Saccharomyces cerevisiae S288C: one gene and its partners. The main gene of each other region encodes a partner of the protein of the gene in region 2 in a complex. Each region holds a gene or a part of one and is shown on either strand. Other genes may lie near its edges. A codon is read from its position in the direction of its gene.

What was found.
Region 1: MED4 (region 2) and MED7 share a complex: the UniProt entries of both Saccharomyces cerevisiae proteins name them as parts of the mediator complex.
Region 3: the proteins of MED4 (region 2) and CSE2 are in contact, whole or in part, in a cryo-EM structure (PDB 7UIG), measured with the Saccharomyces cerevisiae proteins. Residues at the interface, in NP_014817.3 of Saccharomyces cerevisiae: Ser33 (codon at 1,259), Leu37 (codon at 1,247), Lys39 (codon at 1,241), Val40 (codon at 1,238), Gln41 (codon at 1,235), Leu42 (codon at 1,232), Tyr43 (codon at 1,229), Leu46 (codon at 1,220), Tyr49 (codon at 1,211), Glu50 (codon at 1,208), Leu53 (codon at 1,199), Val57 (codon at 1,187), Val60 (codon at 1,178), Asp61 (codon at 1,175), Ile74 (codon at 1,136), Asp77 (codon at 1,127), Leu87 (codon at 1,097), Asp91 (codon at 1,085), Tyr94 (codon at 1,076), Arg95 (codon at 1,073), Leu97 (codon at 1,067), Ile100 (codon at 1,058), Asp101 (codon at 1,055), Asp103 (codon at 1,049), Ser104 (codon at 1,046), Leu107 (codon at 1,037), Asp108 (codon at 1,034); in NP_014407.3 of Saccharomyces cerevisiae: Ile69 (codon at 746), Phe70 (codon at 743), Leu73 (codon at 734), Arg77 (codon at 722), Glu88 (codon at 689), Thr91 (codon at 680), Ile94 (codon at 671), Arg95 (codon at 668), Leu98 (codon at 659), Lys102 (codon at 647), Ile105 (codon at 638), Glu109 (codon at 626), Asp110 (codon at 623), Lys112 (codon at 617), Asp113 (codon at 614), Leu114 (codon at 611), Leu115 (codon at 608), Glu121 (codon at 590), Trp122 (codon at 587), Ile125 (codon at 578), Ile126 (codon at 575), Arg129 (codon at 566), Glu132 (codon at 557), Lys136 (codon at 545), Arg137 (codon at 542).

Annotation. Positions count from the first base shown.
Region 1 is NC_001147.6:68,876-72,011, forward strand, and holds MED7 (mediator complex subunit MED7), read right to left. Parts: upstream 1,170-3,136; coding exon 501-1,169; downstream 1-500. Other genes in the region: SCF ubiquitin ligase complex subunit HRT1, read left to right, coding at 1,450-1,815; GAS4 (1,3-beta-glucanosyltransferase), read left to right, coding at 2,425-3,136. UniProt on the Saccharomyces cerevisiae protein: Component of the Mediator complex, a coactivator involved in the regulated transcription of nearly all RNA polymerase II-dependent genes.
Region 2 is NC_001147.6:656,638-660,101, reverse strand, and holds MED4 (Med4p), read right to left. Parts: upstream 1,356-3,464; coding exon 501-1,355; downstream 1-500. Other genes in the region: ALE1 (lysophospholipid acyltransferase), read left to right, coding at 1-287; DCS2 (5'-(N(7)-methyl 5'-triphosphoguanosine)-(mRNA) diphosphatase), read right to left, coding at 1,777-2,838. UniProt on the Saccharomyces cerevisiae protein: Component of the Mediator complex, a coactivator involved in the regulated transcription of nearly all RNA polymerase II-dependent genes.
Region 3 is NC_001146.8:642,147-644,693, reverse strand, and holds CSE2 (Cse2p), read right to left. Parts: upstream 951-2,547; coding exon 501-950; downstream 1-500. Other genes in the region: DEAH-box RNA-dependent ATPase PRP2, read left to right, coding at 1-374; NRM1 (Nrm1p), read right to left, coding at 1,255-2,004; LRO1 (phospholipid:diacylglycerol acyltransferase), read right to left, coding at 2,313-2,547. UniProt on the Saccharomyces cerevisiae protein: Component of the Mediator complex, a coactivator involved in the regulated transcription of nearly all RNA polymerase II-dependent genes.

The DNA.
Region 1 (3,136 bases), 590 kb from region 2:
AAGAAGTATAAGTACTGGGCTCTCCTAGTATTTCCGGTTTAGTGTTACTCGTATATGAGCGTATCAGACTTTTTAACACCCTCTAAAAAAGCAAATAAGTTGGTTTGCTGTGGCACCAAAATAAGCGAAAACACCTTTGTTTAGAGCACGTCTTCTTTTATATAAGCCAATCTTCCACACGAAAAACCGAGTAATCCAATTTACTTTTTCTACTTTTTTTTCATTATCAATCGATTCAGATGCCCAGAGAAGAAAAAGAAAAAAAAGGAAAACAATTTCCGTTGCAGACTCATCTGTGCGCGATTTCTGTGAAAAGGTGGGGCACTTGTGCCTGGAATCTCGGAAATACGTCAATTAATTTTTGGTATATATTCCGATAAGCTATAGTTCGTATTTTTCCGTTCCGAGGGAGGTGTACGGGTGGACTACCACGTGCCTACTATACGCTATACGGTAGTTGAAAATGTATATAGTTACACAAATGATTTATAATAGTGTGGTCATTGGGACGACGATGGAGGAGATTGTGATCCGGTTCTTAAGGTGTCCTGTATGCTGGTGAGTTTGTCGTGTACCTGTTTGCATACTTGCTCGATCTCGCGAATTTCCCCGCGCTTGTATTCTAATTGTTCTTCCAATAGCATAATAAGGGACTCTCGGGACTGATGGGGTCTGTACTCATTAAGTAGGTGGTGAATATTGACAAGAATGGTCCTTATGTTCTCCACTTTGCGCTCATACATATCCGGATTTATGCTCAATACGCCGATGAGTTCCAAGTAATTTAGCAGGAGGGATTTCAATAGTTTGCGTAGCTCTTGGATTTTGTATTGATAATTTGTGCTTTCGTTTTCTGTGGATTTCTTATAAAGTTGGGTGAGTCCCATGCTCTCTAAATCGGGCAGTTGGTCCTTCACCTGCCATATACTCCCAAACGCTCGGTACTGCTGATTTTTGGGCATGGGGGGTGGGATTAGGTAATCTAGCGCACATGTAATCTCCTCTTCACTGCCGCCGTTACTGTTATTTGGAGCCGTCTGCTTCGCACTTGCGGCCTTCTTTTCTTTGTATTTTGGTAATTTTTCCAGATTGGACTGTGTGAAAAACTTCACGTATGGGGGTGGAGGTGGGTACAAGGAGCTAACCTCATTACCAGGATCATTGGACATTTTTAGTTTGTGAATTTTTTTTTTACTAGCTTAAATTTGGGATATGAAACCTCTTTTATGTCATATTTGCACGTCTAATGACCTGCCTGCTGAAAATGCAAGATTCGTTGTTTAAGTTCTAACTAACATTTCGTATTTCGTGATAATAGTTTCTTTTAAAGGTGTGAAGAGGGAGATCATGAAACCCACAATAGACGTATGGGCTTCAATATGTGCAATGTTGGTTGCTACTAAATGTCTTTCTCCAGTGGCAGAGAACTTTAAAGAGAAATAGTTCAACATGAGCAACGAAGTTGACAGGATGGATGTTGATGAAGATGAATCGCAAAATATTGCGCAAAGCTCAAACCAAAGTGCGCCAGTGGAAACCAAAAAGAAGAGATTTGAAATTAAGAAATGGACCGCAGTGGCGTTTTGGTCATGGGATATAGCTGTTGACAACTGTGCTATTTGCAGGAACCATATAATGGAACCATGCATTGAATGCCAGCCAAAGGCCATGACGGACACTGATAATGAATGTGTAGCAGCCTGGGGTGTCTGTAATCACGCTTTCCATTTGCACTGTATTAATAAATGGATCAAGACAAGAGACGCATGCCCATTAGATAACCAACCTTGGCAGTTAGCAAGATGCGGTAGGTGAAAAAATGAATTGCCCGTAAACATTTAAATCATACCGAGGTAGAAGGATTATGGCATGTTCCTTTTTTTTTAGAGTATGTCAACTGGCGCAGTAGATACATGTTTTTCTCTTCCACGTCGAATTTTGTTATATACATAGCATAATCGAGTTGTATGCACCCTTTTTGTTTATCTCGTTAGTAACTCGGGGTAGGAATAAGACATCCACAAAGGTGACAGAACAAAATCATCCTAGCCTTGTTCATAATCTACCTCTATATAGCCGCTAAAAAATTAGTAGTATTTTGACTCTTTAAGAGCACATTTATTATCAGGCTGCTTTTACATACTTCTTTTGTTTAAAACATTTAAAGACGATCACTGCCCTTCCAAAGGACAAATATATATACACAAACACTAGGCCAAAAGTTCACTTATAATAATTTAGTGGTAATTATGTTGGGTAAAGAAATTGCCAATAGTCTTTTTTTTCCGTATTGTAAGGTGAGACTGAGGTAGCGGCACAAAAAAACGACACATAATAGGATACTGAGTAAAGCAGTATTAAAATAAAAAAATATATTTTACCTCGAACGCTACAAATAAAGCAGAAAAGAACAAAATCGTGAGCATGATGGTTTTTTCGAGCACCTTTATTTTTCTAATTTTGGAGTTAGTTGTACTGTGTGAAGCTTCAGTCCACACCATTCAAATTAAGGACAAGCATTTCGTTGACACAGTGACTGGAAAACCATTCTTCATCAAAGGTGTGGATTATCAGCCAGGAGGCTCTTCCGACGTTAGTGAAAAGCAGGATCCGTTATCCAATCCAGATGCATGCGCTCGTGATATTTTATTATTTCAAGAATTGGGAATAAACACAGTAAGAATTTATTCTATAAACCCGGACCTGAACCATGATGCGTGCATGACTATGCTCGCAATGGCAGGTATCTATCTTATATTGGATGTCAATTCCCCATTGCAAAACCAGCACTTAAACAGATATGAACCTTGGACTACCTATAATGAAGTTTATTTAGAACACGTTTTCAAGGTTGTCGAACAATTTTCTCATTACAATAATACTTTAGGATTTTTTGCTGGGAATGAAATTGTAAACGACAAAAGATCAGCACAATATTCTCCTGCCTATGTCAAGGAGTTGATTGGAACTATGAAGAATTACATAAGCGCACACTCGCCCAGAACAATTCCGGTAGGTTACTCTGCTGCAGATGACCTGAACTATAGGGTATCACTGTCCGAATATTTGGAGTGTAAAGATGATGATAAGCCAGAGAATAGCGTTGATTTTTACGGAGTTAACTCCTACCAATGGT
Region 2 (3,464 bases):
AACATGAAAAGGGAAAGACAGCAGAAGAAGAAGAAATGAACTTAGGTATTCCACCAATTGAGTTAGAAAAGTGGGACAATGCTAAGGAAGATTGGGAAGATTTCTGCAAAGATTACAAAGAATGGAGAAATAAAAATGGTCTTGAAATAGAAGAGGAAAACCTTTCTAAAGCTTTTGAAAGATTCAAGCAGGAATTTTCTAACGCTGCAAGTGGATCAGGTGAACGTGTGAGAAAAATGAGTTTTAGTGGTTACTCACCAAAGCCTATTTCAAAAAAGGAAGAGTAGATGGCCAAAAACGACAGATGCGTGTGGAAGTCACAGTCTTGTTGTCTTATTTTCCAGTTCCTGTGGGAACTTACTTTCAAATGTTTTTCATACACTTTGACATATTGCAGTAAATTATATATGTAATTTTATATACGCTTTTACCTACACGAATTATTGTCTAACTTTTTTTTTTCTTCATTCCTAACGAGGAAGAGATTCAAGACACTGCAACTAGAAGTCGTCCGGATCAAACAGATCAAGATCAAGATCTAGGGCATCATCATTATTTTCTTCCTTTTCTTTATCTTTGGTATTGTCTGCCTCATCACCAACTTCTTTAGCAGTACCATCAAATATAAACGAGTCTGTCTTTGGTGTACCTTCTTTCTTGGCCATCTGCCCTTTTTGTTCTTCACTTTGAGATGGCGGTACGGTCGGTACTTCTGTTTCTTCTACTTCTTCACCGGGTATTCTAGTTAGCTCTTTACTATGTAATGAGGCCATAGCAAGCATTCCTCTTCGTAGGGCATCCTCTGCGGGCCATATAAAATTGTTGGGTCCCACAGCTCCCTTGTCGAACGTTGGTGGTATTTTGGTAAACTTGGAGAGTTTGGTGGCATAATCCAACAACTCTGTCGAATTGATTTTCGATCTTTGCTGTAAAATTGTGTTTTTCTCGAACTCTACTTGTTCAAGCATCGGTAGTGCTTTTAACTCGTCATGACATTCATTTAGAATTTCCAATATCTTCCTGGTTTTAGAATCTAGTTCTTCAGAGTCTTTGTCAATCTTCTGTAAGTTGCGGTAGATATTGTCATATTCAGCTAACAGTTTGACGTTTTCAAACAAGGCCTCATCAGTTCTGATCAAATCCTTGGCAATATCAAGGTTTGGTTTGAAACGATCTACAGATTCCACCAACTTACTCAATGTATCCTCGTACCGGCACAAATCTTCGTAGAGTTGGACCTTAGATAATTTGTCTTCACTATTCGTGTTTGAAGTAGCCTCTGCTACCAGGGATACAGAGGATGATCTGATGTGACCCATAGAAAACTCTACCGCTTTAGTATCTTGGACAGACATAACATTCGTTGTGTGTACTCTGGAAGTAATTGATACTAGATGCTTTCTCCACCGTTAACAATATACCAGAAAACCTTGTTGAAAACGGGACACGTTATAACTACTTTCCTTCGCGGTATGGTGAGCAGAGAATGCAAAAGTTTATCTTTTTCTCCAGCCTACCTTACGTAGGTGGTAATGCACTATTTTTTCGCATTTCTTTGAAAAGGCTGGCAATACGTCAAAGGCTATGTATGCTATAAGGGAAAGAAAGCTTATACGGAAAATAGCAACTGAATGTACTATGTTACTGTGCATTCGCATTCTATGTTAAAATTCAAAATCCATTGAGATGTATACACAAACATTTAAATAAGACATTTATATAAGCCGGCGCTTCCTGAAGTTCAGCACATGAAAAAATAGTGCTGCTCTTCTACCTTCAACCCAAATTGGTATTGAACCCAGAGCCTTTTTCAGGACTGGTTGCGATACCATCATGCTTCAGTTGCTTTTCAACTTCTTCCTTAAAGCCCTTTTTCCATAAATCATGATTTTCACCAATGACATAAGTAAGCGTCTTCTTCATATAACCTTCAGGACCTAAGAAACCCAACGCTTCTATAACATCTTCCAACAGTATTGTCATTCCGGAGCCTCTCTCCTCGCCTACTCCTGGATGCCTTATATTCACTATATGGACATGAAAATGGTAATATGAAGGTTGATAATGAATGAAAACTCTTAGCTCGTCCGGGTTTACATTATAGTCATAGTGCTGGGGGATGATGGTCTTAATCTTCTTATTGAGTCTAATTAACCAATCTCTATGGTTTGGGTTCAAATCTCTCAAAGATTTGATGTCGTCCCTGTACACGATCGCGACCAGGTATAACGAATCAATGTTGATTCCGTCCCACTTCATATCGGGCAAGATGACGAATCCATCCTCTTTATTCCTGCTACTGTATTCCTTATAAACAACTCTATCATCCTCGGCGCCCTCGTAAAGAATGTTGTTTACCCATTTCATTCTTTCGCTGGTACACATCTCTTGGATAAAGGGCACAACTATGTTTCTATACATATCAGGAGTTTCTCTGACGACATGTAAATCCTGCTGGTCGTATCCCTTGATGTGGAACTGCGAGGCGGGCCAAATTAAGTTAACCTTCGCAGTTGGGTTATGCAAAATATGCTGCTTCAAAACAGACAACCCCCAGTAGTAGATGTCATTCGAAGTTAATTCCTTCAGATCAGTAATACCGTTTAAAAAGGAGTACTCGTCTATTTCACGATGAAAGAAAATCGGAGTGCTACGGCCACTTTGAGAGGGTCTACGTACCGTTTCATCAAATATGAAATGCGTCTTTTCAGCAGTTAACACGGCATCCTTCCCATCTATGCTGCCTAGTAGTGAGATTACCTTTGTATGAGGGTTCGAATCTAACACCCTGACGTATTTAAACCTCCCAATTAAACTAGCTAAATCTTGGGAACCCATCATGTATTTTTTTACTTTTACACGCTCAAATCTTTTCAATTTTGCAATGAAAAGGTACCGACCTAACATATATTTGAAGACCAAACGAAACCCCCGTGCTTCTGTTTCTCTTCTTTCTGCCTTTATACTCATTGGTATTGTCACCCCTTATTTCCCCCCTAGGCGTCTGCGCGGCCGCTGTCATGGGGCTGTCCTTTCGGACTAGCATATAATCACTGACGCTAGCTCTAATCGATCAATAATTAAGTGGAAGTATTTTGTTGAGGTGGGTGATTATTATGGGGAAGATTTTTGACAATCGAATGAACACTTTAACAGCTTTTGGAGGCTAGAGTGCCAGTAAGCTCCATACTTCTTTGGAGTTGATTTCTTTTTCTTGCAGAATAGGTTGGACAAAGTACATCCATCAGAACAATTGCAGGTGCCTTTTGTTCACGCAATTACTGGCTTTTCCTTGTTTGTTTGGTCAAGAAGTTAGTGTTTAGCTTTTTCCCTTCATTTTTTTATTTTTCTTATTTTATAGATGCTTAAATGTCATTTTTGTCTTACTAATCATTAAATAGTTGGTCCGAAAGATAGGTCCAAGCGCAAGTCCAAGCCAATGGCTTGCTCTCGACTGTCTTCCA
Region 3 (2,547 bases), on a different chromosome or scaffold from region 2:
TAGTTGAAAAGAACGACCAAGCCAGGATGAAGATAGGCAATATAGCGGGCTACATAAATGCTAGAATAACTCGATGCTTCATCAGCGGGTTTCCGATGAATATTGTACAATTAGGCCCCACCGGCTATCAAACCATGGGTAGGTCATCAGGTGGGCTGAACGTTAGTGTTCATCCTACCAGTATACTTTTCGTTAATCATAAGGAAAAGGCGCAGAGACCAAGCAAATATGTGCTTTATCAACAATTGATGCTAACGTCGAAGGAATTTATCAGGGACTGTCTAGTTATCCCTAAGGAAGAATGGTTGATAGACATGGTTCCACAAATCTTTAAAGATTTAATTGACGATAAAACAAATAGGGGGAGGCGGTGAAGGTTTTTTGACAGGTGTATGTGTATTGCTAGAAACGCAGGCTCCATTCTATATGCACGTTTGAAGATGTGGTATGCGTATGTATATATATATATATATATAGACTAAAGATAGATAGCATAGATTTTATCGTTGTAACTTGCGATAAAGATCATCCAAGACGTCTCTCTTAATTTGCAGTTCTTGTTCACGTTGATGGATGATATCCTGCCATTCTGATGGACTTTTACTTAATAAATCCTTGGTATCTTCGTTTTCCGATATCAAAGATTTACAAAGTTTCAAACGATGTCTAATCGAACCTGTTAAGGTTTCCAATTGATTTGAGAGATTGTTTGGATCCTTCCTTATTTGGTGCAGCGAATAAAAAATATGCGGTATAAATTCACCGTTGGAACTGGTGGAGGGAGTACTCAGATTTTTCGGCTGCTGGTTGGTAAGATAGTCTTTTTCATCTCTATTTTCTGCAGACGAAAATTCTTCCTTTGTAGCCTCAGCATTAGGTTTATCGAGAGTAGGATTCGTAGGCAGCAGAATCTGGTGTATCTGATTTAAAACGTTGTTCTGTAGATTCATTTTATGGCGACTTTCAGTGCTCGTGTCTCTCTGGTAGATGCTGGTATGCTTCGCCTTCTTTTTCCCATTTATGCATGTTCTCTTTTTTTCTTTTATTTTCTTCAATTCGGTTACAGTTAATGGCCGCAGTAGAATTGCAATCGATACTAATAAAATCAGGTTTTATATGATATTCTATCTAATTATACGTACAGAACTAAAGCGGAAGTGAAAAGGTAATGTGGAAGATATACGAAGACAATAATATTATTATATACACAATGAAGGAGAATGAAAATGAAAGATAGAAATATTGGGGGTGGGATTATTGGTTACTTGTAAAGAGATGAATTAAAGACTTAGCGGCTTTGATGCTTGTAGGTGTTTCTTGTCTCTGATACAATGTGCGATTATGACTGTTTGAATGCTTTGTGTTTATGTTGTTGCGTATTGGTGTGGTGGTATCTGCGACGTTCATATCTGCGGTAGTGCTCGAGCTTTCGCTGACACCGCGGAAAGATGTAAAGGAAGATGTATTATCGTGAGAGCAAATCGAAGATGGAGTTTTGATCTTAGACCTAGCAGGGGTTTTATAATGACCCTGAGATAGTACTAATTTTCTTCTCCTAGTTAAAGGTTCTGATTTACTGTGAGTCGCGACTTTGGAAGGCCTCGTAATGCTATGCTTTGATTTCAAGTCTGTGAAATTTTTGTCTGTTTGCTTAGTCTTGTATTTATAATAGGCGAACTGTAAACGAATTTGCAACTTCTTGGAAAGCTCAGAGTAATCTCTAGACGTTGTTTTCGTACTAATACCATCCTGGCATGAGGACTTACTGGCACAAGCCATACCTCCGCCACTGCTCCTCATTAGGGGAACAGGAAGACTCTTCGTGTTTTCGTATACTTCAGGACTAACCATCAAACTCTTGATAGAGGGAAGACACACAGTCCCGACGTTGTTTTCTCCATGGTTTCTAGGCTCGCTAGCGTCTGCAATATTGGCAATTGCCAGTTTGTTGATCTTCGAGCTGGAAAACTCCCCCAGTGGTAGCCTCTGCTTCATAATGGACATGAACGGTTGTTTTTCCTCTATGCGTACGTCGCTGCTGCAATTGGCCCTCTCCGCAGCCTACTTAGAAAACAGTGTTTTAAGTTTGTGTATATATAATCTATAAAAGCAAATAACCAATTACACAAACCTGTCAAAAACCTTCTCCTCTATCTACTGTCGTTTGTTTTTTCGTTTGTTTTTTCGCCTTTTTTTGTTTTTGTTTTTGTTTTCTGTTTATTTTCTAGCCTAAAAAGGCGCGTCGACGCGACGCGCCTTCTTTTCGCTCTTTGAAATAATACACGGATGGATAGTGAGTCAATGTCGGTCATTTACATTGGGAAGGGCATCTGAGAAACCCACTGGCTCAAATTAGACAATTGGCGTGGCTCGACGAGATCGCCATTACCGCTTGCAATTTTCAAGATGTAATCGTTCAACTCCGCGCTGCCGAGGATGTCTACGTGTTCGGCGCTTTTTGCTCCACCACGTATATCAAATCGATCTGGCTGGTGTTTCATTTCCACAATAGTAACGTTAATTCCGGCAGGGTTGTACGGTGAAGCA